Anolis sagrei: one gene and its partners. The protein of the gene in region 2 interacts with the protein of the main gene of each other region in a biochemical or structural test. Links are inferred from orthologs where the notes say so. Each region holds a gene or a part of one and is shown on either strand. Other genes may lie near its edges.

Region 1 (3,756 bases), on a different chromosome or scaffold from region 2:
TGATTTGATCACCAAGCTCAATGGGGGTATTGGGGTAATGATACAAAAGGTTTGCTAGGGTTGACCCTCTTTCACTTGGACTCAGCCCCCCCCCCCCCCCCCCGAATCGAAATCCTGGCTACGGGCCTGCTCAGGCACTGCCAGGCCACCAAATGCTAATCAAGGTGGTCAGTTGAAACATTCATACCTAGCTCCAACAGACAAAGAGTTCTTTGCCCCACCTTGGTCATTCCATATAAACCCAATTTTCCTAGTTCCAACAGACCTCACTACCTCTGAGGATGGTTGCCATAGATGCAGGTGAAACGTCAGGAGAAAATGCCTCTAGAACATGGCCATATACAACAGCAAACAATCAGGCACATCTAATCACCTCTCAACAGAAGATTGCCTCAGGCACTGCCAGGCCATCAAATGCTAATCAAGGTGGTCAGTTGAAACAGTCACACCTAGCTCCAACAGACAAGAGTCCTTTGTCCCACTCTGGTCATTCCACAGATATATAAACCCATTTTCCTACTTCCAAATAGACCTCACAACCTCTGAGGATGCTTGCCATAGATGCAGGCGAAACGTCAGGAGAGAATGCCTCTAGAATATGACCATATATCCCGAGGAAACCTACAACAACCGAATCCATTCTTCTTTTCCCCTCAGGAAGGGGCTTCTATGACGCACCAGGAGGAGGAGGAGGATGACAAACGAGGGGAGCGCTCTATTCTAATTCGCAACCTGATTGGAGGACGGGTTGAACCGACGTCACGAAGGCGGAGCATCCGAAAGAGTATAAATAGACGCGCGAAGTTCTGTCATGAGGTGAGTGGAGTGAAAGAAGAAGGGGAAGAAGCAACAGAAGTGTTTGTGTCAGGAGTTTCTGAGGTAAGTGGCGGATACTGGAAGGAAAGGACGCCTCGAAGGAATGGCAATTGGGCCCCGCTGGAACTTAACTCTTTCTTTCCCTCAGGATGACGCTCAACCGCAGCGCCCGCCTGAACGTTCCCGACCGGAGGCGCGGGAGCACGCCCTTCGCGGCCCAGCAGCAGCTCCAGCACCAGGAGGCTCTGCACCGGCGCAGCATGCCGGTCGACGAGAGGGAGCTCGCGGCTCAGGAAGAGGAACCGGAAGTGGAGGTGGAACTGCCGCGCCGGGCCTCGGGCTCTTCGGACTCGCTGGCTTCCACTTCCTCTTCCGGCAGCGACGCGGAAGGGAGACTCCACAAAGTCCTGCTGCTCGGGGCGCGAGGCGTCGGGAAGAGCAGCCTGGCGCGCGTCTTCGGAGGCCTGGAGGAGGGGCCTGAGGCGGAAGAGGCCGGTGAGTGGCAGGGGAAGGGAAAGGGGCCAGCACTAGTGGTTCTCAACTTGGGGTCCCCAGATGTTTTTGGCCTACAACTCCCAGAAATCCCAACAGCCTCAGGCCCCTTCCTTTTCCCCGTCAGCCGCTTAAGCGGCTGAGGGGGAAAAGGAAGGGGCCTGAGGCTGTTGGGATTTCTGGGAGTTGTAGGCCAAAAACATCTGGGGACCCCAGGTTGAGAACCACTGAGGCTGAGGAAGTGGTATTTATTTATCGTGTCAGGACCGTGCTCTGACCTACAAGAAGCACTGCCTGAACATCCAGCAAAAAGTAGGTGCTAGAAACAATACCATACGAAAGCTGACTGGCACAACCTGGGGATTACAACCAGACACAGTGAAGACATCTGTCCTTGTGCTATGCTACTCTGCTGCTGAGTATGCATGCCCAGTGTGGAACATATCTCACCATGCTAAAACAGTGGATGTGGCTCTTAATGAAACATGCCGCATTATCACGGGGTGTCTGCGCCCTACACCACTGAAGAAATTACACTGCTTAGCCGGTATTGCACCACCTGATATCCGCTGGAAAGTAGAGACATCCACCAAGGCAGAGACATCTCCAGTTCATCCCCTGTTTGGGTATCAGCCAGCACGTCAACGACTTAAATCTAGACATAGTTTTCTAAGATCGACAAAGACACTCGCTGGAACACCTCAGCAAACGAGAGTCCAAAAGTGGCAAGCTCAAACCCAAAACCCAGAAATTAGTTACTTAGTATATTATTGTGTTGTTTTTAAATGGTTTGTATGATGCTAGCATTTAATTTTTGCTCCTGCTGTTGTTAACCGCGGTGAGTCGCCTACGGGCTGAGAAACTGCGGTATACAAATAAAGTAAATGAATAAATAAACCTCAACCAATGGCTGATACCAAATGAGAGGCTCCCCCCTGGGCACAGAGGACTGGGCGACTTGGAAGGCGCTGAACAGACTGCGCTCTGGCACCACAAGATGCAGAGCCAACCTTCAGAAATGGGGCTACAAAGTGGAATCCTCAACATGCGAGTGTAGAGAAGAGCAAACCACTGACCACCTGCTGCAATGCAACCTGAGCCCTGCCACATGCGCAATGGAGGACCCTCTTGCGGCAACACCAGTGGCACTCCAAGTGGCCAGATACTGGTCAAAGGGCATTTAATCAACTAGCAAGCTTGCAAACTTTGTGTTTTGTTTGTTTCTTTAAAAAATGCAATGCAACTGTTTGGTCTGCTCCTGACACGATAAATAAATAAATGGCCAGGTTGTCCTACCCTCCGCCTTTAGAGACGTCTGCTTTGATGCACGTTTCAGGGATTTAGTGAACTAGGTATCTTTTCTGCGCCCCGGTGGTGCAGAGGGTTAAACTACTGCACTGCTGAACTTACTAACCGAAAGTTTTGGTGGTCTGAATCTGGGTAGTGGGGTGAGCTCCCGCTATTAGCCTCAGCTTTTGCCAACCTAGCAATTCGAAAACATGCAAATGTGAGTAGATCAATAGGTACCACTTCAACGGGAAGGTAACGGTGCTCCATGCAGTCATGCTTGCCACATGACCTTGGAGGTGTCTACAATGCCGGCTCTTCAGTTTAGAAATGGAGATGAACACCACCTCCCAGAGTCGGACACAACGAGACTTAATGTCAAGGGGAAACCTTTACCTTTTAACTTATTTTTTCTAAAGATGAGATCCTTGTACATTATAGAAAACGTCACAGGGAAAGCTCATATTTCTTGTTCTCATGTCTCTCTCTTTATAGGCAATACATATGACAGATCCATTATAGTTGATGGTGAAGAAGCTTCTCTGGTGGTGTTTGACATATGGGAGCAGGTAAATTGTATATTTCTTACATGTTCTATGTATCATACTCTGTCCTATATAGTCCATAGAGTGCTCATTTATGGGTAAACCTGGGCTCTCCAGGGGTTTTGGACTTCAACTCCCACAAGTCCTCACAGCCTCAGGCCCTTCCTTTCCCCCCTCAGCCGCTAAAGCAGTGGTTCTCAACCTGGGGTCCCCAGATGTTTTTGGCCTACAACTCCCAGAAATCCCAGCTAGTTTACCAGCTGCTAGGAGTTCTGGGAGTTGTAAGCCAAAAACAACTGGGGACCTCAGGTTGAGAACCACTGCGCTAAAGGAAAGAGAAAAGGAAAGGGCCTGAAGCTGTTAAGAATTGTGAGAGTTGAATTCCAAAGCACCTGGAGGGCTGAAGTTTGCCCATGCCTGATCTGTCACCATATATAGGCTATAACAGTTGCCTTAAAGAGCTTGGTAAACTTACTTTTGTGGTCATGTTGGAGATACTTTTACAGTTGCTGTCCCAGAAATGAGATATTTATTTACGATATTTCTACCCCACCTTTCTTACCCCAGAGGGGACTCAAGGCAGCTTTATATGCCTTAAAACACAATGTACACTTAA
Region 2 (3,756 bases):
AGCTTTTCCTATGGATGCACTTGCTTGGTCGGCTGGTCAGTTACATCTTGCATCACTTTGGGGGCTAAAGCAATAACCGTACTGCCGTGTTTGGATTCCTGTCCTAAATATACATTTCTTTGGCAAATAATCCATATGAGAAAAAGATATCTGGCTTGTACTTTCTCCTTCTCTTTTCCACCAACTCATTTCTTATTTATTAGAAGAGGTTTCATTTACCAGTGGCTTCTTAACTTTTGGATGGAGGCAAAGCAAAGGTTAAGTCACTAGAAGTGAGCCGTTATTTTCATTCCTGATCTTTGTGGGAAGATTATGGACTGTGCAGCTATGCACACTTTTTGTGCACATTTGGAAATGTTTTATAAATAGATTCTACAGATCATTATAACAATGAATGATATTTTGCAAAAGAGTGTTTTGCAGCCTTAACATTTAGGGAGAGGAAGTGCCCATCACCAGAAAACATAGCATCTGAACAAGCTCTTCTTTTGCCTCTGTCTTACAGACTGTATCTGTCTTGCCACACTATAGGCCAAGCTTTTTGAGTTGGGGTGTGGTCATTTCATTGTGTTAGCTGACTAGCTCTGTCTTCTGAAATTCTTCTCCCTCTTTTGCATTGGAGGATCACCCTGTGTTGTGGGGGTTTCCTACCTGGTGAGAGCCTTATTTGCCCTACCTTCAGGCCTGAGGGTGAAAGGGATTCAGAGAATCTCTGAGCTATTTTAAGCCTTATTGCGTGGCCCTCACTACAGTTGATCTGGCAAGCCTGCCTGCCTCCCTCCCTCCCTCCTTCTGTATTAATCAAATCTGCCCGCTGTTCACCCTCTGACCAGCTGTTTAAGTGACCAGGCTGCCCGTGTTTGTTGCTGAATACACAGAGACTATGGACTGGGCAATGATGGACCTTTCCTGGACATCGTGGGAGTTGGGGAATCCTGGTATGCACATGGATGGCTGCCCTGGAGAGCTGCGTACCAGTTGCTGAACTGTCATGAGTGTTTTGGTCCAGCGAAGTCATTTTGATGAAAATTCTCTCCCGGTTAGAAGTCGCAAACAGTTTGTTTGAGCCAAGTGCTTGTCTCAATCAGTTGGACAGGAATGTAAAGAGCTCTGCTGAGTCTGGGCTGTGTCTGCTCTCCTGTTGCTGCTTTCAGCCTTCTCTTCCTGCAGCAGGACAGAAAGAGGGTTGTGTCTGTCCCAATCTTCTTGCAAATGGCAACGACTGGGGCAAGTGCTCTCCTAGACCCTGACGGAGTGGCCTCACTCTGTTTGATGTGAGAGCAGAGCTGGAGCAGGCAAAGAAACTGGTGATTAAAATAAAGGGAAACATGAACCATGGAGCTGAGGTGAACTCTCGAAACTCCAGCAAGAACAAAGGGTGTAAGATGTCGGCGCTACAGAAACTGGAGAATCTGGCTGGCCGGATCTTTTACTGGGGCCCACGGAGTGATGCAGGGCTGCCTGAATGTGGAAACACAGCCTCTGAATCAGAGCACACGGCTGCTTGGAATGAGCAGAGTGAGTTGACAATAAAGCATGGCTTCAAGGGGTCTAGGGATGGGTGTAAGGTTCCCTGAATCTCTCCTCCCAAAATTAATCTGTACAGAACAAAAGCAATTGCTACTGTTCTCCTTATGCATGTCTTGGCAGCTGAATGTGGATCAGGTCAGTGAAGTAAGCTGCTGTTTGTTGCCAAAGAAAATATCAGATGTGATATGCTATTCTGATAGACATTTTGGTTGTGGCTACTGTCCATTCAGTTATTCATGCTAGGCTATGTTTTGAAGTGCAGGTTGCTTCCTTTTAGGGACACCAGAGCTGGGGAAAAACTGCTTTTTTGTTTACAACTCGCAGAATCCCCCAGCCATAGAAAATTATCATTTCTCAATGACAGAAGGGCTCCCTAGTGTGTGGCTATGATTTTAACCTCCCAGTGTTTATCAAGCATGACCATTGATCCAACTCTGCTTCACTGCTGGCCACTAAATGATTTAAACACTGACTTTAGTGGCTCTTCATTGCATACTCTATGTCTTAATTTGTCTATTTCAAGTATGACAGTCTGTATAAAAAAGGGATTACTTACTGAAATGACATAGGAGACTAGCTTAAACTGTAGGAAATGTACTAGTAATTCAGCAGCCATTTTGATGTGAGTAAAGCCATGGGGTAGAGTTGGGTGGGGGTGGCAGAGAGAAGGTGAATAATGGCAGGAGTGCCATCTATCCTGGAAACCATTTCCCTGCCTCACCCGTTTCCCTTTCCAGGCAGAAAGTTTTGGGAAGGAGCAAGAGATGACACAGGGAAATAATGTCTAGAGAAAATGCCTCTTCCCTGCACTTATCTGTTCTTTCCTACCCCTACCCAAAATTTATTATGGTAGAAGTGGGAAAACTTGGCCTTCCAGGTGTTTTGGGACAGCAACTTCCATCAGTCCTAGCAAGTTTAGTTTCTGTGCATTTGGCTGTGATGTGCATTTTGGGCTACACTGGTAATATAGAAAAATATACAACTTGGACTGCAGAGAATAAGGATAGTGAAGCATACCGAGATGTCCTGCCATATTTGGGGGAGAATGTCAGTTTTTTTATTCCAGCTGGCAGATAAGGTAGTATTTAAAAAATCCAATGTCTTCCTATACTCTTTTATTTTTGTGACCATTTTGCAGCCTTACCTGTGGATGTTTCTCACTTGGTAAGGGAGACCTTTATTTTTCTTCATATTAAATGCCTAATCAGACTTGGGAATTCCCGTCTCCAGCTGATAGAGCTTTGTAATGACACACATAGACTGGCCATTATTGTTTTAGCACTTTCCACTACTAGCTGAGACTATGGTTTTGATTCTTGACTTGGTGAACGGTTGTATTTTGATTCCCAGAGCACTCTATTTCAGGTTTTGGGTCAGAAATAGAAAGTAGACCTTTGCATTGTCTGCACTATACATTACTACCTCACAGCAGCAGAAGAGACTAAATGCAATCTGATTTTGGATCCTCAAGTATGTTTAAACAAAGCTGTGACAGTAAGTTTTGGCACTGCTGCATGGCCTAAAATAGAAGCTTGTACAACATCTGATGCCAGATTCCTCTTTGGCCTTGTTATGCTTTTGGCGTTGGCATCTCTTCTCAGTGCTGTGTCCGGTCTGTTGCACAAGAAGAGAAATGCTCAGAACCTCTGACAATCTTCTTCTTCAGAAAGTTAAATCTAATTATGGGAGCTAGGCACAATATTATAATACAATAACTTTATTTTTGTACACTGCCTCCATCTCCCCGAAGGGACTTGGGGCGGCTTACACGGGGATGAGCCCGATCAACATGGTGAAGATACAGCACATTAAAATATCTCAACAACAACATAATATAAAACAAAACAAAACAGAAAAACAACATTATAACAAAATATAAAAACAAAACATTAAACCAGTAATGAATGAGATCTGCGATAATAATCAGTTTCTGGGCATGAGTGGAGGGACTGGTGCACAAACAATTGTGAGGATAGGGCTGATGGATAAAGTGCATAGGTCATATGGCAGCAATAGAGATAGGGGTTAGTATACGATAGAGCATTATAACTTTGGGTATAGAACAATAGTAAAGTGCGAGGACAAGATTGTGGGTCCTAGCTGAGGCCAAGCTATCAGGGAGATTGTCTAGTCAAAAGCACAGTGCAACATCCACAGCTTTAGATCTTACCAGCATTTTCTACCTAGCTCTTTGTCAAAGGACTTGATGATAAAAACAATTGCGCT
Region 3 (3,756 bases), on a different chromosome or scaffold from region 2:
AACGCCACTATAGGGGTCCCCATATATATAATATGTGGCCAGTATCCATTATATTACATTATATTATAGGGTGGGCCCATATAATGCAATCTGAAATACATTAAGCTCCATTATATGGATCTCTCTCTTATGTGTAGTCAGTGCCATATATATATATATAAACACACATACATATACATATAGGGTCATGGTAGACCCATATAATGCAATCTGGACTGCATTGGCCTCCATTACATGAGTCTCCATATATATTATATATGACCAGTACCATCTATATATATATATATATATATATATATATATATATATATATATATATATGGATGGTACTGGCCATATATAATATATACCATGACCCATATATATATATATTATATATATATATTATAGGACTAGGGTAAATGCATATAATGCAATCTGGAATACACTGAGTTCCATTATATGGATCTACAGATATATTATATATATAATATATATGTAGATCCATATAATGGAACTCAGTGCGTCTACCCTAGCCCTATAATATATATATATATATGACATTGACATATATCATGTATAATATATATGTAGATCCATATAATGGAGCTCAGTGCGTCCACCCTAGCCCTATAATATATATATATATATATATATATATATATGATATTGACCATATATCCTATATAATATATATGTAGATCCATATAATGGAGCTCAGTGCATTCCAGACTACATTATATGCATCTACCCTGGCCCTATAATATATATATGGCACTGACCATATATAATATATATGTAGATCCATATAATGGAGCTCAGTGGCCATATATATACATATGCATATACATATACTTATACATATACATATACATATACACATATACATATACATATATATATATATATAATAGGGCCACTCATATAATGCAGTCTGGAGTATCTACATATATAATATATATATATATATATATATATATATATGTAGATACTCCATTCCAACCCTATATATATATATATATATATATATATATATATGGGGTTGGAATGGAGTATCTACACACACACACATATATTATAGGGCCACTCATATAGTGCAGTCTGGAGTATCTACATATATATGTGGCCAGTGCCTTATAATACATTATGTTGCATTACATTGTATTACATAGGGTCAGTGTACGCCCATCTACTGCAGTTTGAACAGCATTGATTCTACAGTGCAAACCTATCCCTAGATCTGGATGGCTTGCTGCACAGGTTTAGGTCACGTGCTCCCAGATTGTGTTCCCGGGCAGAGCGCTCCGGGAACAGCCAATGGCAAGCCACCCCGGCGCGGAAGGTAGCCAATAGGAAACGCCGGGGGCGGGGCTTCGGGAATAAAAAATTACAAAGGTGGGCGGGGCCTGCCTTGCAGCGGGAGTCCCCGCCCCTTAGCCGTGACGTCGAGAGATGTGATTGGACGCAGGGAGTGGCAGTCCTCCATCGCCCGGGCGACAGTGGCAGGGAAGAGCCAGGCTGTAAACACGAGCCGTGTCGAGAGAGTGAGGCAGCTTTGCTTGAGGTAAGGAGGATCGGGGCCTGGGAGGGAGGCAGGATTATCATTAGATCTTGGCTCTAATCATAATAATATGCTGGAATAGATGGATTTGGAGCCTGGAAGGGAGGAAGGAGCAGGACATCAACAATGGCTGCACCAGGAAATGCCTCTGATCAGTCAGAAAGGAAGCCCAGGCTGGGATGGCATGGGAAGCACACTCTCCCATCACTGTGAGGGAGGTTTTGAAGCAGAGTCTGACTGGCTATCTGTTGGGAGGGCTTTGATGGTGTCTTCCTATGGCAGAATGGGGTTGGACTGGATGGCCCACTACCCAGCTCTATATATGCTGATGAGCTAGGCCTAACAACACAAGCAGAAGACTTTGAAACAATTAGGGACAGGTAATCATCTCCCAACAAAGGATTCCCCCAGGCTGTAAGAAGCCACACCTTGAAACTGCTAGGCCATTAAATGCTAATCAAGGTGGCCAACTGAAACATTCACGCCTACCTCCAACAGACAAGAGTTCTTTCTCCCACCCTGGACATTATAAACCCCACTTTCCCAGTTTCCAAGTGCCAGCTAACACCTCCCAACAAAGGATTCCCCCAGGCAAGCTTTCAGTGCTAATCAAGGTGTCCAATTGAAATATTCACACCAACCTCCAACAGACAAGAGTTCTTTCTCCCACCCTGGACATTATCAACCCCACTTGCCTAACACCTCCCAACAAAGGATTCCCCCAGGCAAGCTTTCAATGCTAATCAAGGTAGCCAATTGAAACACTCACACTAACCTCCAACAGACAAGAGTTCTTTCTCCCAACCTGGACATTACTCCACAGGTATATAAACCCCACTTGCTTAGTTTCCATGTGCCAGCTTACACCTCCCAACAAAGGATTCCCCCAGGCAGGCTTTGAAGCTGCAAGGCCATTCAATGCTAATCAAGCTGGCCAATTGAAACATTCACACCTACCTCCAATAGACAAGAGTTCTTTCTCCCACCCAGGATATTATTCCACAGGAATATAAACCCCACGTGCCTAGTTTCCAAGTGCCAGCTAACACCTCCCAAAAAAGGATTCCCCCAGGCAAGCTTTCAGTGCTAATCAAGGTGGCCAATTGAAATATTCACACCTATCTCCCAACAGACAAGAGTTCTTTCTCCCACCCTGGACATTATAAACCCCACTTGTCTAGTTTCCAAGTGCCAGATAACACCTCCCAACAAAGGATTCCCCCAGGCAGGCTTTGAAGCTGCAAGGCCATTCAATGCTAATCAAGGTGGCCAATTGAAACATTCACATCAACCTCCAACAGACGAGTTCTTTCTCCCACCCTGGACATTATAAACCCCACTTTCCCAGTTTCCAAGTGCCATTTAACACCTCCCAACAAAGGATTCCCCCAGGCAGGCTTTGAAGCTGCAAGGCCATTGAGTGCTAATCAAGGTGGCCAACTGAAACATTCACGCCTACCTCCAACAGACAAGAGTTCTTTCTCCCACCCTGGACATTATAAACCCCACGCTCCTAACACCTCCCAACAAAGGATTCCCCCAGGCAGGCTTTGAAGCTGCAAGGCCATTCAATGCTAATCAAGGTGGCTAATTGAAACACTCACACCAACCTCCAACAGACAAGAGTTCTTTCGCCCACCCTGGACATTATAAACCCCACTTGCCTAACACCTCCCAACAAATGATTCCCCCAGGCGGCCTTTGAAGCTGCAAGGCCATTCAGTGCTAATCAAGGTGGCCTAACTCCAACAGACAAGAGTTCTTTCTCCCAACCTGGACATTATAAACCCTATTTGCCTAGTTTCCAAATGCCAGCTAACACCTCCCAACAAAGGATTCCCCCAGGCAGTAAGAAGCCACACCTTGAAACTGCTAGGCCATTCAATGCTGATCAAGGTGGCCAACTGAAACATTCACGCCTACCTCCAACAGACAAGAGTTCTTTCTCCAACCCTGGACATTATAAACCCCACTTGCCTAACACCTCCCAACAAAGGATTCCCCCAGGCAGGCTTTGAAGCTGCAAGGCCATTCAATGCTAATCAAGGTGTCCAATTGAAACATTCACACCAACCTCCAACAGACCAGAGTTCTTTCTCCCACCCTGGATCTTATAAACCCCACTTGCCTAACACCTCCCAACAAAGGATTCCCCCAGGCAGGCTTTGAAGCTGCAAGGCCATTCAGTGCAAGTCAAGGTGGCCAATTGAAACATT

Evidence for each region.
Region 1: of the proteins of PRKACA (region 2) and RRAD, one has a biochemical effect on the other in vitro, tested with the Homo sapiens proteins (2 studies listed by BioGRID). The link is inferred for Anolis sagrei from reciprocal best matches to the Homo sapiens genes PRKACA and RRAD.
Region 3: the proteins of PRKACA (region 2) and BAD form a complex in vitro, tested with the Homo sapiens proteins (2 studies listed by BioGRID, with this or other methods). The link is inferred for Anolis sagrei from reciprocal best matches to the Homo sapiens genes PRKACA and BAD.

Annotation. Positions count from the first base shown.
Region 1 is NC_090028.1:20,918,025-20,921,780, reverse strand, and holds the start of RRAD (GTP-binding protein RAD), read left to right. Parts: upstream 1-842; 5' UTR 843-879; intron 880-964; 5' UTR 965-965; coding exon 966-1,311; intron 1,312-3,090; coding exon 3,091-3,164; intron 3,165-3,756. UniProt on the Homo sapiens protein: May regulate basal voltage-dependent L-type Ca(2+) currents and be required for beta-adrenergic augmentation of Ca(2+) influx in cardiomyocytes, thereby regulating increases in heart rate and contractile force.
Region 2 is NC_090022.1:112,796,848-112,800,603, reverse strand, and holds the start of PRKACA (cAMP-dependent protein kinase catalytic subunit alpha), read left to right. Parts: upstream 1-818; 5' UTR 819-1,328; coding exon 1,329-1,518; intron 1,519-3,756.
Region 3 is NC_090032.1:16,530,938-16,534,693, reverse strand, and holds the start of BAD (bcl2-associated agonist of cell death), read left to right. Parts: upstream 1-1,430; 5' UTR 1,431-1,543; intron 1,544-3,756. UniProt on the Homo sapiens protein: Promotes cell death. Successfully competes for the binding to Bcl-X(L), Bcl-2 and Bcl-W, thereby affecting the level of heterodimerization of these proteins with BAX. Can reverse the death repressor activity of Bcl-X(L), but not that of Bcl-2.